Linked DNA regions of Arabidopsis thaliana. The protein of the gene in region 1 interacts with the protein of each later gene in a pairwise test. Each region holds a gene or a part of one and is shown on either strand. Other genes may lie near its edges. The genes, in order: MGDC and FRA8.

Region 1 (8,481 bases):
TAATATAGGTCCAAAGTGGATCGTCTGCTCCTTGAGAGAGATTCCAAAGCTGAGCCTCAGTGACGTCGCTTTTGATGAAGTACCCGTACTGCTTAATGAAAGCAGTGGAGAGTTGCTTAAAATTGTCGATCGAACCCTCTTCTAACTGAGTGAACCAGGTGAGAGCGGGACCTGACAAACTTTCCGAGAATAGCTTGCAGAGCCCTGCATCTTCTTCGTGTGGCTCAAGAGGGACCCGACCTGCGATGACCTGGAAAGAAGTTAGATATTCTTTTGGATCTCCCTTGCCGTTGTAACCGGGAAGTTTGAAGTCTCGGAAATCGCGAATACGAAGCTTCGAGATTCTCGAAGTGAAAGGCGTTCTCCTTGTTGCTTCAATAACTTTTTCCACTTCGGGGGCCGACGTGGTAGCCTGATGAACTTTTGCGTTCATTGCCCAGATTTGATCTTGAAGGTTCTGGAGCTCCGAGTTGACTGTGTTTGGCTCTTGTCGGGGATTAGAAATCGGGAGTCTGATGGCGGGATCCAGTGGAGCCGGCGTCCGAGCTATTGTCCCATCTGAGACTGCGGCAAGGCCTGCTGGTGAAGATTGTATGACTGGATTCTGTGTCGACGTTGCCCCGACGTCAACTGGAGGTGAAGGAGATTGCTGGCCAGAAGCTTCCTGCGAATTCTGGACGCTTGGGCTTGCGACACCCTGAAAGTTGAGTCGCGTTCGAGCTCCAGTAGTCCGCGCCGTTCCTGCAGAAAGAGAATCAACCCGCTCGGCGTATGCATTGTGCGCTGATCTGATCTCGGAATGGTTTGCTGCTAAAGCTGCGAGCTGGCCATTGCAATGTTCTTAGAAAAACACGAACTTATCGGAGAGTGTCGTTACTGCGAGCTGTTGCCGGTCGGTTTTCTCTGACAACTGCTGAAGCAGCTGCTTGATGTCGTCGAGGGTGGAGGTTTAGTCGCCGGAACTCTGACCGTCGGTGTTGCTCATGGTGAATTGATCGTTGCTCTGAAGTTAAAGACTTAACTTACCCTCCTTCTAGCGCCAAATTGTGGATGCCAGAATCCGCAATTAGAATTTTGTGGTTGTTTTTGTGAGGATCTTAAGTCTTGTCGGTCGAACAATGATCAAATGATAAACGGATTTGTGTATTTCAGTATAGTTTCAGTATAGTTTCAGTACAAGGTGTTTTCGTCCCCTTTACAAATGACAATTGACTCTTATTTATACTAATACAACGAATCAAATGACTTAAATGATTAGCTGGTTTCACGCCGCAGACCTCGCCCCTATTAACTTCGTACGTTGCGGATCAACAGCTCGGGCCTTTGAATGCTTATCATTCAAGTCGATATCCAGCCGTTACTAAATTAATTCCGTATCAACTTTTTGAACCACTGGGCTTTCATTGGGCTCTAAGGCCGGGCCCAATCCTTGTCTGGAAGCCCACAAATTGCGGGTCGAGTCGAGCACAAGATCCGACATCCACAAACCATTACTTTTTGCTGGTCTCGGGTTTTGAGCCGGGATCCACAAATCCTCCCAAACGGAGATGGAAGCCCCTGAACCGACTTTTTTAATAAGTCCTTTACAAACCAGAGATCTAACTGAACAAATACTTCTCCAGCCATAAGACGGAGAGTATGATTTTATATTTTCCAGAGGATTGGATTTCCTAAAATATCTTCGTTTAAAAACCTTGGCAAAGAGAGAGTCCGGAAACGAAACTAGACGCCATAACTGTTTCGCTAATAATGCAGAGTTTAAATCATCTACATCCCGAAAACCTTAGTCACTTCCCAATTTACTAGTACACAGTTTGTTCCAAGTCATCCAGTGTATACCTCTAGATTCACCATTCGAGCTCCACCAAAATCCTGCGACCGCACTTGTTAGTTTGGAAGTAATTGTTTTCGGGAGCCTAAAGCAATACATCACATAAGTTGGTAATGTTGCGGCTACTGATTTAATCATCACTTTTTTCCCTCCTTTTGATAGGAATTTAGTTGACCACCCATTTATTCGACTGTAATCGATCTTTAACAACGGAAAAGATCTTTGTCTTAGATCCCCCTAAACTCTCAGGTAGTCCGAGATAGGAACCCATGCCTCCGATATTATGTATACCCAAGATCGATTTTATTTCTGCCTTTATAGCTTCATCTACTTTATGCCCGAACTGAATCGATGATTTTACAAAATTTATCATATGTCCTGATACCGCTTCATATTGTTTTAGAATACCCAATAGTTAATAGACTTATTATACCCACATTAGTCTTAATTTCTTTGAATGTCACTATATTTATTTTTTAAATTTATATTTGTAATTATGTTTATCGCACATAAATTTTTCATATAGTATTAAGTTTTCTTGATTTTACTACTTCTAAAAAAATAAAATGAGATTTTCAAATTATATTATACCAAATAAATTAAATTGTGAAAATTGAACCACAGATTTAAAACATAATGTACAACTATTTCATATAAAACAACATTCTTTTCTTTAGGATAGTTACAGTAATATACCAAAAATCAAATTTAAAATAAATTAAAATTTTAATAATGTTCTGTAATAAAGAGAAAAATATATAATAAAACACGTACTAATGCATCATAAAATACACATTTTATGTACTAATAAGTATAATAAACATGTTATCTTAACTAAACATAACCAAGTAAAAAAAACATACTACTATATCAATAAAAGTAAATACATATACCAAGTAAGTTGAAAAAATAAAACTATTGCTCAGTTATTTATATATAGATTATATTAAATTGAAACAACAATTAACTTTCTAACGCAAATAATCAACTCGCTGTGTACCGCGGGTCAATATCTAATGATGTCATAATTCTCGTAGACAAATAGACAATTTTTCCATATGAGTACATTTGATGCAAAAGTAGACATTTGAACTGAAACCTATTTTTGTTTACAAACATTCATATCAACAACTAAACAAAAATCGAAACTAACTTGAATCAATTAATCAAGTATTAAATTAATATGAAAAGTGGACTCAAATTTAACTGAATCGATTTAAACCTAATCAAACCAGATAATTTTTGATTCTAAACCGGTTTACCTATGTCACAAAAAGGACCATCCATGTCATATTTTTTTTTTAATTTTTAAAAAGTCAAGTTGTTTTAAATATACTTGAGATGCAAAGAAAGATCCGAATCATATATCCGAAGATTCCGAAACCAAAGGCGGATCCGACGGCTCCAAGCTGCCATATTCCCTTGTTACTCTACCACTAAATTAAGCCCCACATAAAACAATAAAGACACGAAATATAAATACCTAAGCAAAACTATAGGAACCGAAAAAAAAAAAAAAGAATAATTCCAGCATCATTCCTCAAGTAATTTAAAAACAATTATTAAAAGAAGCAACTTGGTCTTCCATTTTTTTTGCTACAAAAAATTTAAAACCCCAAAAGAACTTAAAATCTTTTACATAAAGATCACCAACCAGCCACATAGAAAACACAACCATCGGTCTTCTTATTATTCTTTCTTCAACACCAAATAGTCATGATGAAAGTGGTGTCACCTCGTACACGGTCGGATTCAATCACTGAGAAGGTGTTTCGACGAGTCTATAGCAATTTTAACATCTCAACAGTAGAAGATGAGTATATCCATCGTCAGAGATCAAGTGATTATGAGAAGGAGAGTCGTCTAAGGAAGAGAGGGTTAGAAGACAAAGAAGAAGTTATGGAGATGGAGCAGATGGGAGCAGAGAGGATCAAAACTGTTCTTATTCTCATGAGTGATACCGGCGGTGGCCACCGTGCTTCAGCCGAGGCCATCCGCGACGCTTTCAAGATCGAATTCGGAGATGACTATCGGGTAAAAATATTAATATTTTTATTTATATCTTCATTTTCATTCTCTTTGCCTTGAATCCAACGCATAGGGTTGAGCCAATAATATGCTTCCTTAACCATATATATAACGTACAAAAAAACGAAAAAATATTGCATAAGCAACAAAACTTAATCATACTTTTATCTTTTAGTTTCTGTGTAAAACAACAACAATATTTTGAAATATTCATTTTGAAAATTTCAAAGCTTGTAAATATATACCTCGAATAATATGTATTTATATTATGACAAAATTTTCCAATAGATTATGTTATAATATATCATAGAGGAGTTTCTGATTCTAATGAAATCTCAGCCGTCAATATTAAAGTTGTCGCAGTAGTCGTCTTGAATTTGAAAACGAAAAGAAACAAATATCTACTTGGAAGTTTTGTAGCCTAGTATGAATCTTGGAGTTTGCCAGGGTGTCGGAGATACGAGCTGACGTCAACAATCTATGTCTTAAAACCTGTCCCACGTTCCATTTATTTTGTTTGTCAATAATGATTAAAAATTTGCATTATTTATTTCTCTAGCTCTGACTCTTTGATGTTACAATATTCTCTCTAGGAACTAATGTCATTTTTTTTATAACTATAGATAATCATAAAAGATGTTTGGAAAGAATACACTGGATGGCCATTGAACGACATGGAGAGACAGTACAAGTTCATGGTGAAACATGTTGGTCTTTGGTCTGTTGCGTTTCATGGTACTTCTCCCAAATGGATCCACAAAAGCTATCTAAGTGCTCTTGCCGCTTATTATGCCAAGTACTTATATGTTAACCTTCTTCTTTTTTCGTTATCATCCCTTAGTGTTACGAATTAGCAATATAATGGAGATTATTTCTTCTTTTGGTGAACAGAGAAATAGAGGCCGGTTTAATGGAGTACAAACCGGACATTATTATTAGCGTGCATCCTCTGATGCAACACATACCATTGTGGGTAATGAAATGGCAAGGACTTCACAAGAAAGTTATTTTCGTTACGGTCATCACTGATCTAAACACTTGCCACCGTACATGGTAAGATGACATTACTTCTATATATACTAAGTACTTAAAATCAGTTTAATCCACGCGTTAGCATATTAATCCTGCATGTTTACTCTCATGACTTTTCATTTAATAAAATATAGATTATATGCAATAATATTTAAAATTAACCAGTGTTTTCACGTCCGACCCAAACCGTTCGGTTCGAACGGTTAATCAGCAACCCAAACACTTTTTCGGTTTAGGTTTAGTACTATAGCCAACAATTTTAAACCCGGAAAAATCCACAAAAAATCGCCATTAACCCGCGACCCAGTGAACCGGTTGAACTGGCCGTGTGTGAGTTTTAAAAAATATATTCGATTTTTGAATAAAATATAGCATTTTAGACTCTATTCAGCTATTTTTAGAAAAAAAATTCACTTTTTAAACTCATTTGATTTTTTTATATTTTGGTGAAGTCTTCACAATTCCGCCTAAAGTGACTGAAACCGAGATTAGTTGTTTTAATTCGCAATGTTTATTAATTTATTTTCGTCATTAATGATCTCCTACTATATTTGTTACGGTTTTAGTCTTTTAGACTTTTAGTTAAATTGAAAACTTTGATTGTTACTGTTTGATTTCATATTTTGTTAAACATAAGATAATTATTTTTGTTTTATTTTATATAATCTCTATTAATATTAAATATATTCAATAAATTTTATTCAATTGACCTGTGGTCTAATTCGGTTAACCCCATTAATCGGTGATCCAGAAGAAAATCCGGTTCACTGTCCGGGTCAGGGTTTAAAACATTGAAATTAACCTAATAGCTCAAAATGAAATCTTCGATTTTGATGTAATAGGTTCCATCATGGAGTCAGCAGATGTTATTGTCCGTCCAAAGAGGTTGCAAAGAGAGCATTAGTAGACGGCCTTGATGACTCTCAAATCCGTGTCTTTGGCTTACCTGTCCGCCCATCTTTCCCTCGCACTATTCTCAACAAGGTAAATTCTGTCCAATTCATACCATTTAGAGATCTTTTTTTTCCCAATCAAGAGAAGATCAACAATAGCTATTATTATGTGTGTTTGTTAGAATGAACTAAGGAAGGAACTTGAAATAGACTTAAATTTACCTGCGGTTCTATTAATGGGAGGGGGTGAAGGAATGGGTCCGGTTCAAAAAACAGCTCTAGCCCTTGGAGATTCTTTATACAACTCTAAAGAAAGTAATCCAATAGGACAATTGATTGTCATATGCGGCCGGAACAAAGTCCTTGCTTCTACATTAGCATCTCATGAATGGAAGATTCCGGTCAAGGTACAAACTAAAATATAATTTTTTTTTTACTTCTACTATATACTTATATACCAAGTAACTAATATATACTTGTGACGTTTATAGGTTCGAGGGTTTGAAACACAAATGGAAAAATGGATGGGAGCTTGTGATTGTATCATCACTAAGGTAAGTCATATCTTTGAATCCTACCCATTCATATAAATAGCACTAAGATTTTATGACATAAAACAGGCTGGTCCGGGTACGATTGCGGAAGCACTGATTTGCGGCCTCCCAATTATCCTCAATGACTATATTCCTGGACAGGTATACATTTTTTTGCTTCACCTTAGGGATTAATCGGCCACATAAACTAACTCTATTGTATGTGACTCCCAAAGGAAAAAGGCAACGTGCCGTATGTTGTGGACAATGGGGCTGGAGTTTTCACCCGAAGTCCCAAAGAAACTGCGAAAATCGTGGCGGATTGGTTTAGCAACAATAAAGAGGAATTAAAGAAAATGTCAGAGAATGCTCTAAAGTTGTCGCAACCTGAAGCCGTGTTCGACATTGTGAAGGATATCCATCATCTATCCCAACAACAACAACGTATTCCACTTTTTAATGAATTTTCCTATTGAAGTGTTGTTTGTTTAGACTATAGGTTTCTCTTATTTCATGATTCTTATTAATGTATATTCTCTAGTGGTTTGTCATTCTTTTATCAGTCTTTTTCAACATTTATTTATGTATTTTATTATATAAAATATGGTTTTCAATGTTAGTAACTCATATGATTGTAACACGTGTCAACTTCATCGATCTCAGATTTTGACATATATAAATAAAAAAAATTTGTTTTATTAAATTTAAAAAACAAAAAGATAATTGTAAATTATAAATTTAAACAGTTTTCAAAATGTAAGAAGATAATTACAAGGAAACTAACTTATTATATAAAGTACGGTTTTCAAAGTTAGTAATTGATTATGCTATGTGCAAATTTTATCGATCTCAGATTTTAACACGTGTAAAACAAAATTTTCTTTTATTAAGTTTAAGACTATAAAAAGACAATTGTAAGAAATTATATATTTTAAAATAAGTATAAGGAAACTAAAACATTTTAGAGAAGTAAATATGATAAGTTTTAAAAAAATATATGTATCTTATTAAATTAAAAATAGAAATTAAAAAATCATTTACTAATTCTAATTGAAGCTACTAATTCTTAATCAAAATTGATTACTTTTTCCTACAAAATTTAAAAAGGATTTAAGAAATTATACAATCTTGTTATATAAAATACCATAATTATGGAAACTACAATCAATTATTAATCCTAAAAGAAAAACGATTCAAAATACTCATATCTATAAAAATAATAGGTAGTCTCCTACTTTTTCACCAAACCAAAATACTCTTCAAAAAGACCACAGTTGATTTAACGTCATACTAATGGTAAAGATTTTTTGTTAGTTTGTGGATTTTTATTTTAGTAATTTGTTAACTCATTTATTATTAACTAAGATATAATGTTTTTTTCTTTTTGTTAACTCTGATACAATATGATATAACTAGTGATGTTAATATGGGTATGCAAACCTCATTTAATTAATGGGTTTGTGTAAGAGAAATTGACCCATTTAAACTCATTTAGAAAAAAATTAAATAGGATTAAATGAGTTAACCCAACTAAACCCATTTATTAAATGGGGTTTCACACAAATAAATGGGTACCCAATTAAGTCCATTTACTTTTTCATTTTATATTAGTAAACCTTATTAAAAATGTTAATGTGTTAATACATTAAAACTAAATTATTCTACTTAACTTCACTTTTTGGTTTAAATATTCAAATCACGTTTTCTCGTCAAAATCATAAACCGACGTTTTTCCCCCAAAATCACAAAAGTTGTTTTCATACTAAAATCACAAAAAGTGTTTTCCACCAAAATTGAAAATCATGTTTTCCCGCCGAAACCGTAAACCGACGTTTTCCCACCAAAACCGTAACCACATTTTCCCGCCAAAATCACAAAAATTGTTTTCCCGCCAAAATCACAAAAATTGTTTTCCTGCCGAAATCACAAAAAGTGTTTTCCACCAAAATTGAAAATCATGTTTTCCCGCCAAAACCGTAAACCTATGTTTTCCCGCCAAAACCGTAAACCAGCGATTTCTCGTCAAAACCGGAAAACCTACGTTTTCTTGCCAAAACCTGAAAATCGACGTTTTCTCCCCAAAACCGTAAACCGACGTTTTCTCCCCAAAACCGTAAACCGACGTTTTCTCCCCAAAACCGTAAACCGACGTTTTTCCGCCAAA
Region 2 (7,355 bases), 7.2 Mb from region 1:
CACATATCAACTATTTCAATAAGATCTTTTGATTGCGTTTCCTTTTATCAATTTATATTTTTAATTTATATTTTTAATATAATCTTAATTTATATTTTTTCAATTTATATTCTTAATTTATATTTTTTCATATCAATAAGATCCAGTTTTTTTTGGGATCTTATTCATTTATATTTTTAATTTATTTGATTCATAATTCGTTTTTTTTTTGCTAAAAATATGGTATAAGGTTGATTAAGGTTAATTGGTCTTTTTACTTAAAATTGGAGTCATTTTAGTTAATCATTGCCAAGAGGAGTCATTCTAGTTATTTTTGTTAAAATTAGAGTCAATCTGAGCAAATTTCAGTTAAATAAAACTCGTTTTGGGAGAAGGATTTGGGAGAAGGATTTCTAGCTCCAAAAGCGTACTTTTATGAGTTGAGAATGTACATAACAAGAATACGTTAAAATTGTTGAACACTTGTATGTTGTTTCTAGAAATTTCTGATCAGGTAAGGGACTCGTAATGGTACAGTCGTGAAAATATTTATAAATTGTTACATATCTACATAACCTTACAAATAACTAAACTAGAAGAGGGTTTATGTATATTTATTCATTCGAAAAGGGAATACTTTTTTGAAAAGGGATACATAATTATAGTGGAAACCCTGATATTACTTAATTAGGGGATTGTATATATTCTTGATGATTACGGGAACGGAGAGGTGGTTCAACATCAATTTGATTTCTTCTTTTTCGTCGAAATTTTTGGTTTTTATTGTTTCTAGCAACATTTTACAGTACTTTTTTTTACTGAAATGAATATCTAAAAGTCTTTTGAAAGTTCATCACAACGATGTATGTTCTTAGACCATTCTTATTGATGAGTTTTTAGTAGTATTTTTAACATTTTGGATAGACAAAATAATACTTAAATATTAAATGGTTCTTAATAAGAAGAGAAAGTGTATCAACAATATCTTATTTAAGAGTCAATTTTACTTTTCTAAGAACCTTTTTCTATTTTTTTTTTGTATTTTATTTTATATAATATTTTAAAAGTTTTTTTAAAATTTTTAAGAACCTATTGATAATGATGCTCTTAGGCTTCTACATATTTGCTAGTGCCACCTAATATTCTTATCTGGCTTGATTAGATCGAAAATGTCAATCTATAGAACTATTATAGAAGCCAAAGAAAGTTGGTTGACGAGTCGTTTTCTAAGTGTATACAAAACTATTTTCTTCAAATCTCTTGTATCATTAAATAGTAACGTTTTAAATATTTTCTGGATAAGCATAAGTTTCTTTGAAAACTATTTTGTATATATTCCTACTTCTCCATTTTTCTAAATTATTTTATATTATACATAGTTTTCCAAATTATCAAACATTTTTACATGTTTTGACTAATAAATAAACATATTACTGCGAATTAATTAAAAATAAATATTCCACACAATAATTACCTTACAAGCGAATAAACTTTTACTATGTTTTCGATGTAAATTTTTCTTACATATTTGTAACTGAAATTTCTAACTTGTTGTTTCATAAGTTTTAAAATTTATTATCTAATTATCTACTTTTATGTGTTCTAGAGCAAAGTGCTAAATGTATATATACTTAGATGTTGTGTTGTAATCCAATGTCAATATAATCAATGATTTAGCTATTTGTAAACATACTAAATAGTATTCCACCAAAAAAAAAACATACTAAACAGTAAACAAACAGCAAAAACAAAATCCACATGTCCTAAAAGATAGTCTGATTTTCGTTCATAATGCTCTGGTTTTTGAAAGATAATAATTGTGTTGTATGAGTGTATGACAAATATTCATTGGTTTGAGAAGTTAACAAAATTTGGTGGCTACAAATGGTTTCCTATTCGAGTTGGGTCCATTATCCCTTGGCGTGTACGGAAATAATACCTACCCATCATAATCTGATCAAAGATGAGGTAGTCTTTAAATAAATTTTGCGGCTTATATCAATCTTTATGTACTATAAACTGTGAACTTTTTGTTCTTCAGGACTTCCACATCATTGCCCAATCCGGTTATACCTTCGCTAGTTAATATGTTAATTAACATTAAATTAAAGAGCTAACATTTCTTAGGTAGTAAAATAGAAGTTTTGAACTACTATACTACTAACATGTGAAAATACTTTAGTCACAAATATGACAATATACAAATTTATTGGAATGCAAATTCTTGAATTTCAATTGTTTGAAAATTATATATTTCTACATAACAATTCTTTATAAACTAAAAATATTAATTTTCCATGGCTATGCGTTATACGTATATGTCAAATATTTTTATTATTTATATAATTTTACGATAAATTAGTACTCCACTTTACTATATTACTCAACACTAAAAGACCTCTTTAACTCCGCCTAACATAGATATGTTTTCTTTTGAATGTTTCGGTTAAACATGACAGAGATTTGTTTTCTTGCTTTCGCTCAATACATATTTGTGCTCCTTTAGAAAAGTAGTATTTCCTAACAATCCAACATTTTCATATTTATTATATCTTTTAAATATTATCATGGTTCTTTTTCTTTCGTCATGTTTGGCCTCTTTAAAATAATTCTTGAATTGTATGAGCATTAATCCAATAACGTCCTGATCCCAAAAACCTCATATTAGGTTTGAGAGTCCGAAAATATACTTTTCACATAAAGCACCTAAGGTGTCATACTTTAACAACTTCACAAAATATGCAAAATTTGTCATTGTCACTTTGAGATGTAAGTTTTTTTTTACATGCAAATAGATTGAGTCTCTTTACGTGTAAATTCATTTAATAAAATTGTATGGAATATCTATTTATATCATATATTTCTAACATATATATAAATATCTATACAAAAATACGACTTTTTGGCACATGTAATTAGAAAAATCCACAAGAAACAGAAAAAAGAAACACCAAATACAACGAAATGAAGAAATTATTATAAATTTGAATGGCTTAACATCTCTTAAGAGTCAACAAGGTAAAGGATTAATTAGTAGTCTTCATCAATCTTTCTCCACCTTCTTCTATTCCTTAATCTCCACTTTATCTCCCAAACCCGAAAACTCCTCTTCACCAACTTAAACCCTATTAACTAATCCCAACAATCAGATGTTTCGAATTCAACAACCAGCTCAGGCCATAAGATTCATCCCGGAGAAACAAGAACGATGACAACACATAAACATAGAAGAACAGAGAAAAATCTCTGTTTTAAGCAATACTACAAATGGATCCTCTGTTTTATCCTCACTCTCTATTTTTTTGCTTCCTTCTTTGTCGACCATGATCAAGATCATAGATCTTCTACTTCCATATCAAAGCATCTTCTTACTAACCATAAACCTAAGCTTTTCGCTTCTCGTGCCATGTTTGAATCTAAAATCCATGATCACAAACTTGGGTTTACCTCTCAACAACCTAACATCAAAACAGGTACATATTACATATATATAGATGAATCATGAATCCATCATGTTTTCTAGTAGAATTTTTTTTCATAACAATATTTTTGGTTGTTTTAATTTTCTTTAGACGTATTCAACAATTTGAAAATCTACGTCTATGACTTACCTTCAAAGTTCAACAAAGACTGGTTAGCCAATGATAGATGCACCAACCACCTCTTTGCCGCGGAAGTGGCTCTCCATAAGGCGTTTCTCAGCCTCGAAGGAGATGTAAGGACGGAAGATCCGTATGAAGCCGATTTCTTCTTTGTCCCTGTCTATGTCTCTTGCAACTTCAGCACCATTAATGGCTTTCCAGCGATTGGCCATGCACGATCACTCATCAATGACGCGATAAAGCTCGTCTCGACTCAATACCCTTTTTGGAACCGAACCAGTGGCTCTGATCATGTCTTCACGGCCACACACGACTTTGGCTCTTGCTTCCACACCATGGTTAGTTTAAAAATGATTTGCCAAATATATATGTTTATTTATACTCAAAATTTATATTTCTTTTTGGTTGTGAAGGAGGATAGAGCTATTGCTGATGGAGTACCAATTTTTTTGAGAAACTCTATAATTTTGCAAACATTTGGTGTTACTTTTAACCATCCATGCCAAGAGGTAGAGAACGTGGTGATACCACCGTACATCTCACCGGAAAGTTTACACAAGACTCAAAAGAATATTCCGGTAACTAAAGAACGAGACATTTGGGTTTTTTTCCGTGGCAAGATGGAACTTCATCCCAAAAACATCAGTGGACGCTTCTATAGCAAGTAACAAAACTCTTATAGCAATCTCTATACCTAGTTTTTTTTCTTCTATAAAATGCATAAAACTTTAAATATTGAACTACTTTTTTTAACCTATCAGGCGTGTAAGGACGAATATATGGCGGAGTTACGGTGGTGACCGGAGGTTTTATCTCCAACGGCAAAGATTTGCCGGTTACCAGTCAGAAATAGCTCGTTCTGTTTTCTGTTTATGTCCTCTCGGGTGGGCACCGTGGAGCCCAAGACTTGTTGAATCGGTGGCTCTTGGCTGTGTTCCGGTGATTATAGCCGACGGGATTCGTTTGCCGTTCCCTTCCACCGTACGTTGGCCGGATATTTCGCTCACGGTGGCGGAGAGAGACGTTGGAAAGCTAGGGGATATTTTGGAACACGTGGCGGCTACTAATTTGTCAGTCATACAGAGAAACTTGGAGGATCCGTCTGTTAGGCGGGCCCTTATGTTTAATGTTCCTTCAAGAGAGGGAGATGCCACGTGGCAAGTTTTGGAGGCTTTGTCAAAGAAATTGAATAGGTCTGTTAGAAGGTCAAACTCTTTCTTGTAAACCAATATAATTTTGACACCTGTGTATTACTATTTTTTTTCCTGGCTAGTGAGATATAAGAGTAGTAAGCTCTTAAATGTGAAAGATATGAACCTTCAAGATTTGTTGTTAGGAATTTCACCAAATGAACTTTAGGTGAGACTTAATTAAACTTTTCCACATCCACTATTAAGTCATTTTCTAACAACCAAATTAGAACATAATCCAAGGAGGAACTTAGCCTAAGTAGAGAATATTTTGGACAAAATGAAGTGTAAGAAAAGATATCAAACAACTTGTGATAGTAGCATTTTATATGTGTACTCCAACATTAGGAACTGTGATTTGTTGTAGAAAAATTCCCTAAAGAAGCATTCTTTGTGCAAATCTGTCTCAAGGTTACAATTGCAGGCTGAACTCCTGATCGTAGAGGAACAACTGAAGCGACTCTCATGTGTTGCGCGTTTCGGTTTTGAGGCCGAGTTAACGTCATCCTAAGCATTTCTCCATCAAAGACCTGATTCACCATTGATGCTGCAATTGAAAACAAAACATCTAAGAGGAATCATCTCAAACTTACTCAGAGCTTTTATAGTACAGCGATTTGATGATATTTACCGGCTAATGGATTGAGCTTAGTGAAGTGGAAGAACTCATCAGCTGAACAACCAAAGAGAACAGTTGCAGCTCTATCAAAGCATATCACAGTTTTCACTGATGCATCTGTTGCTATTGACATCTGTTAGCTCCAAAAAAGGTGGAAACTTTGAAGTTACACAATTACTCAATTCCACAAGACATTAACAGATTCACCAAAACTCATTCTTGTCTATGCATAGAACTAAATTGGACAAAGTCCATTTCTAACACTATAGACATCTGTTAGGTTCAGAAAGGTGAGAACTTTGAAGTTATATAATTACTCAATTCCACAGTTCTTACAAGAGATTAACAGATTCACCAAAACTGATTCTCTACAAAGGACAAAGCCCATTTCTAAATAACAGCTGCTAAACCTAAAACCCTAATTCATCACAAAATTTTCAGATTATTCCACCAGAAAACAAAAACCTAGAAGGAAGAAGAAGATGAAAGGGTTCTTACGAGAATCCGATAGAGAAGTTTTGGTTCTTTTGATTTGCAGAATTTGCAAAATGAAGAAGAAGCAAAGCCATTGTTATCTGAAGGAAGAACTCTCTGGCAGCGAGAACAAACTCTATAGCAATAATCTGTGAGGTCGACGGCAAGCAACGTGCAAAGAACCGTTTCAGTGGCTTCCATGTCTCTTAACTTTAGGGCTTTCTCTGTTTTTCCACAAAAGTTTTCTCCAATCCATAAGAAATTCTTTAAAACATTTGGGCCGAGTTACAAAAGAAGACCCAAATCCTCAAATTTATGTCATTGAAGAAAAAAAGTCATATTTCTTTTAAAGCAATAGAGTAAAAGTTAGAGCCTTAACATACAAGAATTGATAGTGACACATATATGACTTGATGCACATAGATATTCTCAAGAATACCTAACACTTATGTGATGAATCCTTGAGAGTTATTTCTTACAAATCATGTAGTTGCTGCTCTTCCTTTAGTGTCCTTGTGATTGTTATCTTTGTTGTGTTTCTACTAGAACCCGAAAACTTATCCATGTAGAGTCCGAGGTACGATATAAGTGGGTCGGTCCTCGCTTTGTCCACCACAAGCTTTAGAGACCGCGACTCAACAACATTCAGAAACCGTAAAAGCCTTTTGTTACCAACCGTCGTGCCGCTCACAACTCTCTCCCACTCACCGCTTCCAGTCTTCCGTGTCTCGAGATGGAAAGATGCGATCCTTTGACCCATATGGATTGGTTCTCGAATCTCCAACACATTGAAGCTAACCAAATCTTTAAACTCTAAGTATAACACCCATTCGTTTTGATTCTCTTCTGGCGCCCAGTACTTGTCTAATCCTTCTTCCAAAACATTCTTAGGACCAAACTGTGAACTTTGATCGCCACGAATACTGCTCGAGTTAACGAATGCTTTACGGGCGAGATTGTTCGAGAAAATGGAGTTCTTCATTTCGCTGAACTCTTCAAGAACCTTAATGTCTTGCTCAGATATCAATCCTGAAGAATTAGGAGGTACATTAAGCAAGAAGAGACAGTTTCTTCCAACTGAGTTATAGTATATATCCAAAAGCTGAACAGCCGGTTTAGGCGACTCCGACGCATGCCAAAACCAACCGGGTCGAATCGATACATCACATTCCGCTGGTACCCAATCTTGCCCATAGCCATCACCTTCTTGAGAATACCTACAAGATCAAACAAACAACTTCAAGCTATGATCTCTATCATCCCTAACATCTATAGAAAGTTTCAACATTAGAGAGTGACTCACGAAGGCTCAGTGTCACCAATCTTTGCATTGGTTCTGTTAAAGAGTGACCAGCAAGTAGAGCCAGCTAGACCAGCTTCATCACCAATCCACCTGACATCAGGACCAGCGTCAGAGAATATAACAGCTTTAGGCTGAAGCTGATGGATCAAACTAAACCAAGTATCAAAGAAATATTCCATATCTTTCTC

The links.
Region 2: the proteins of MGDC (region 1) and FRA8 interact in a two-hybrid assay, tested with the Arabidopsis thaliana proteins (one large-scale study listed by BioGRID).

Annotation. Positions count from the first base shown.
Region 1 is NC_003071.7:4,739,841-4,748,321, forward strand, and holds MGDC (monogalactosyldiacylglycerol synthase type C), read left to right. Parts: upstream 1-3,321; 5' UTR 3,322-3,547; coding exon 3,548-3,865; intron 3,866-4,426; exon of another isoform or gene 4,427-4,482; coding exon 4,483-4,655; intron 4,656-4,750; coding exon 4,751-4,912; intron 4,913-5,733; coding exon 5,734-5,875; intron 5,876-5,966; coding exon 5,967-6,191; intron 6,192-6,275; coding exon 6,276-6,338; coding exon of another isoform or gene 6,339-6,374; exon of another isoform or gene 6,375-6,378; coding exon of another isoform or gene 6,379-6,384; exon of another isoform or gene 6,385-6,404; coding exon 6,405-6,479; intron 6,480-6,553; coding exon 6,554-6,793; 3' UTR 6,794-6,970; downstream 6,971-8,481. UniProt on the Arabidopsis thaliana protein: Involved in the synthesis of monogalactosyldiacylglycerol, the major structural component of photosynthetic membranes and in the chloroplast envelope biogenesis.
Region 2 is NC_003071.7:11,975,474-11,982,828, reverse strand, and holds FRA8 (Exostosin family protein), read left to right. Parts: upstream 1-2,825; 5' UTR 2,826-3,187; coding exon 3,188-3,452; intron 3,453-3,551; coding exon 3,552-3,919; intron 3,920-3,994; coding exon 3,995-4,245; intron 4,246-4,342; coding exon 4,343-4,805; 3' UTR 4,806-4,964; downstream 4,965-7,355. Other genes in the region: AT2G28105 (replication factor-A carboxy-terminal domain protein), read right to left, coding at 5,116-5,318, 5,403-5,523, 5,889-6,065; FUC1 (alpha-L-fucosidase 1), read right to left, coding at 6,340-7,081, 7,168-7,355. UniProt on the Arabidopsis thaliana protein: Involved in the synthesis of the hemicellulose glucuronoxylan, a major component of secondary cell walls. Probably involved in the synthesis of the glycosyl sequence at the glucuronoxylan reducing end.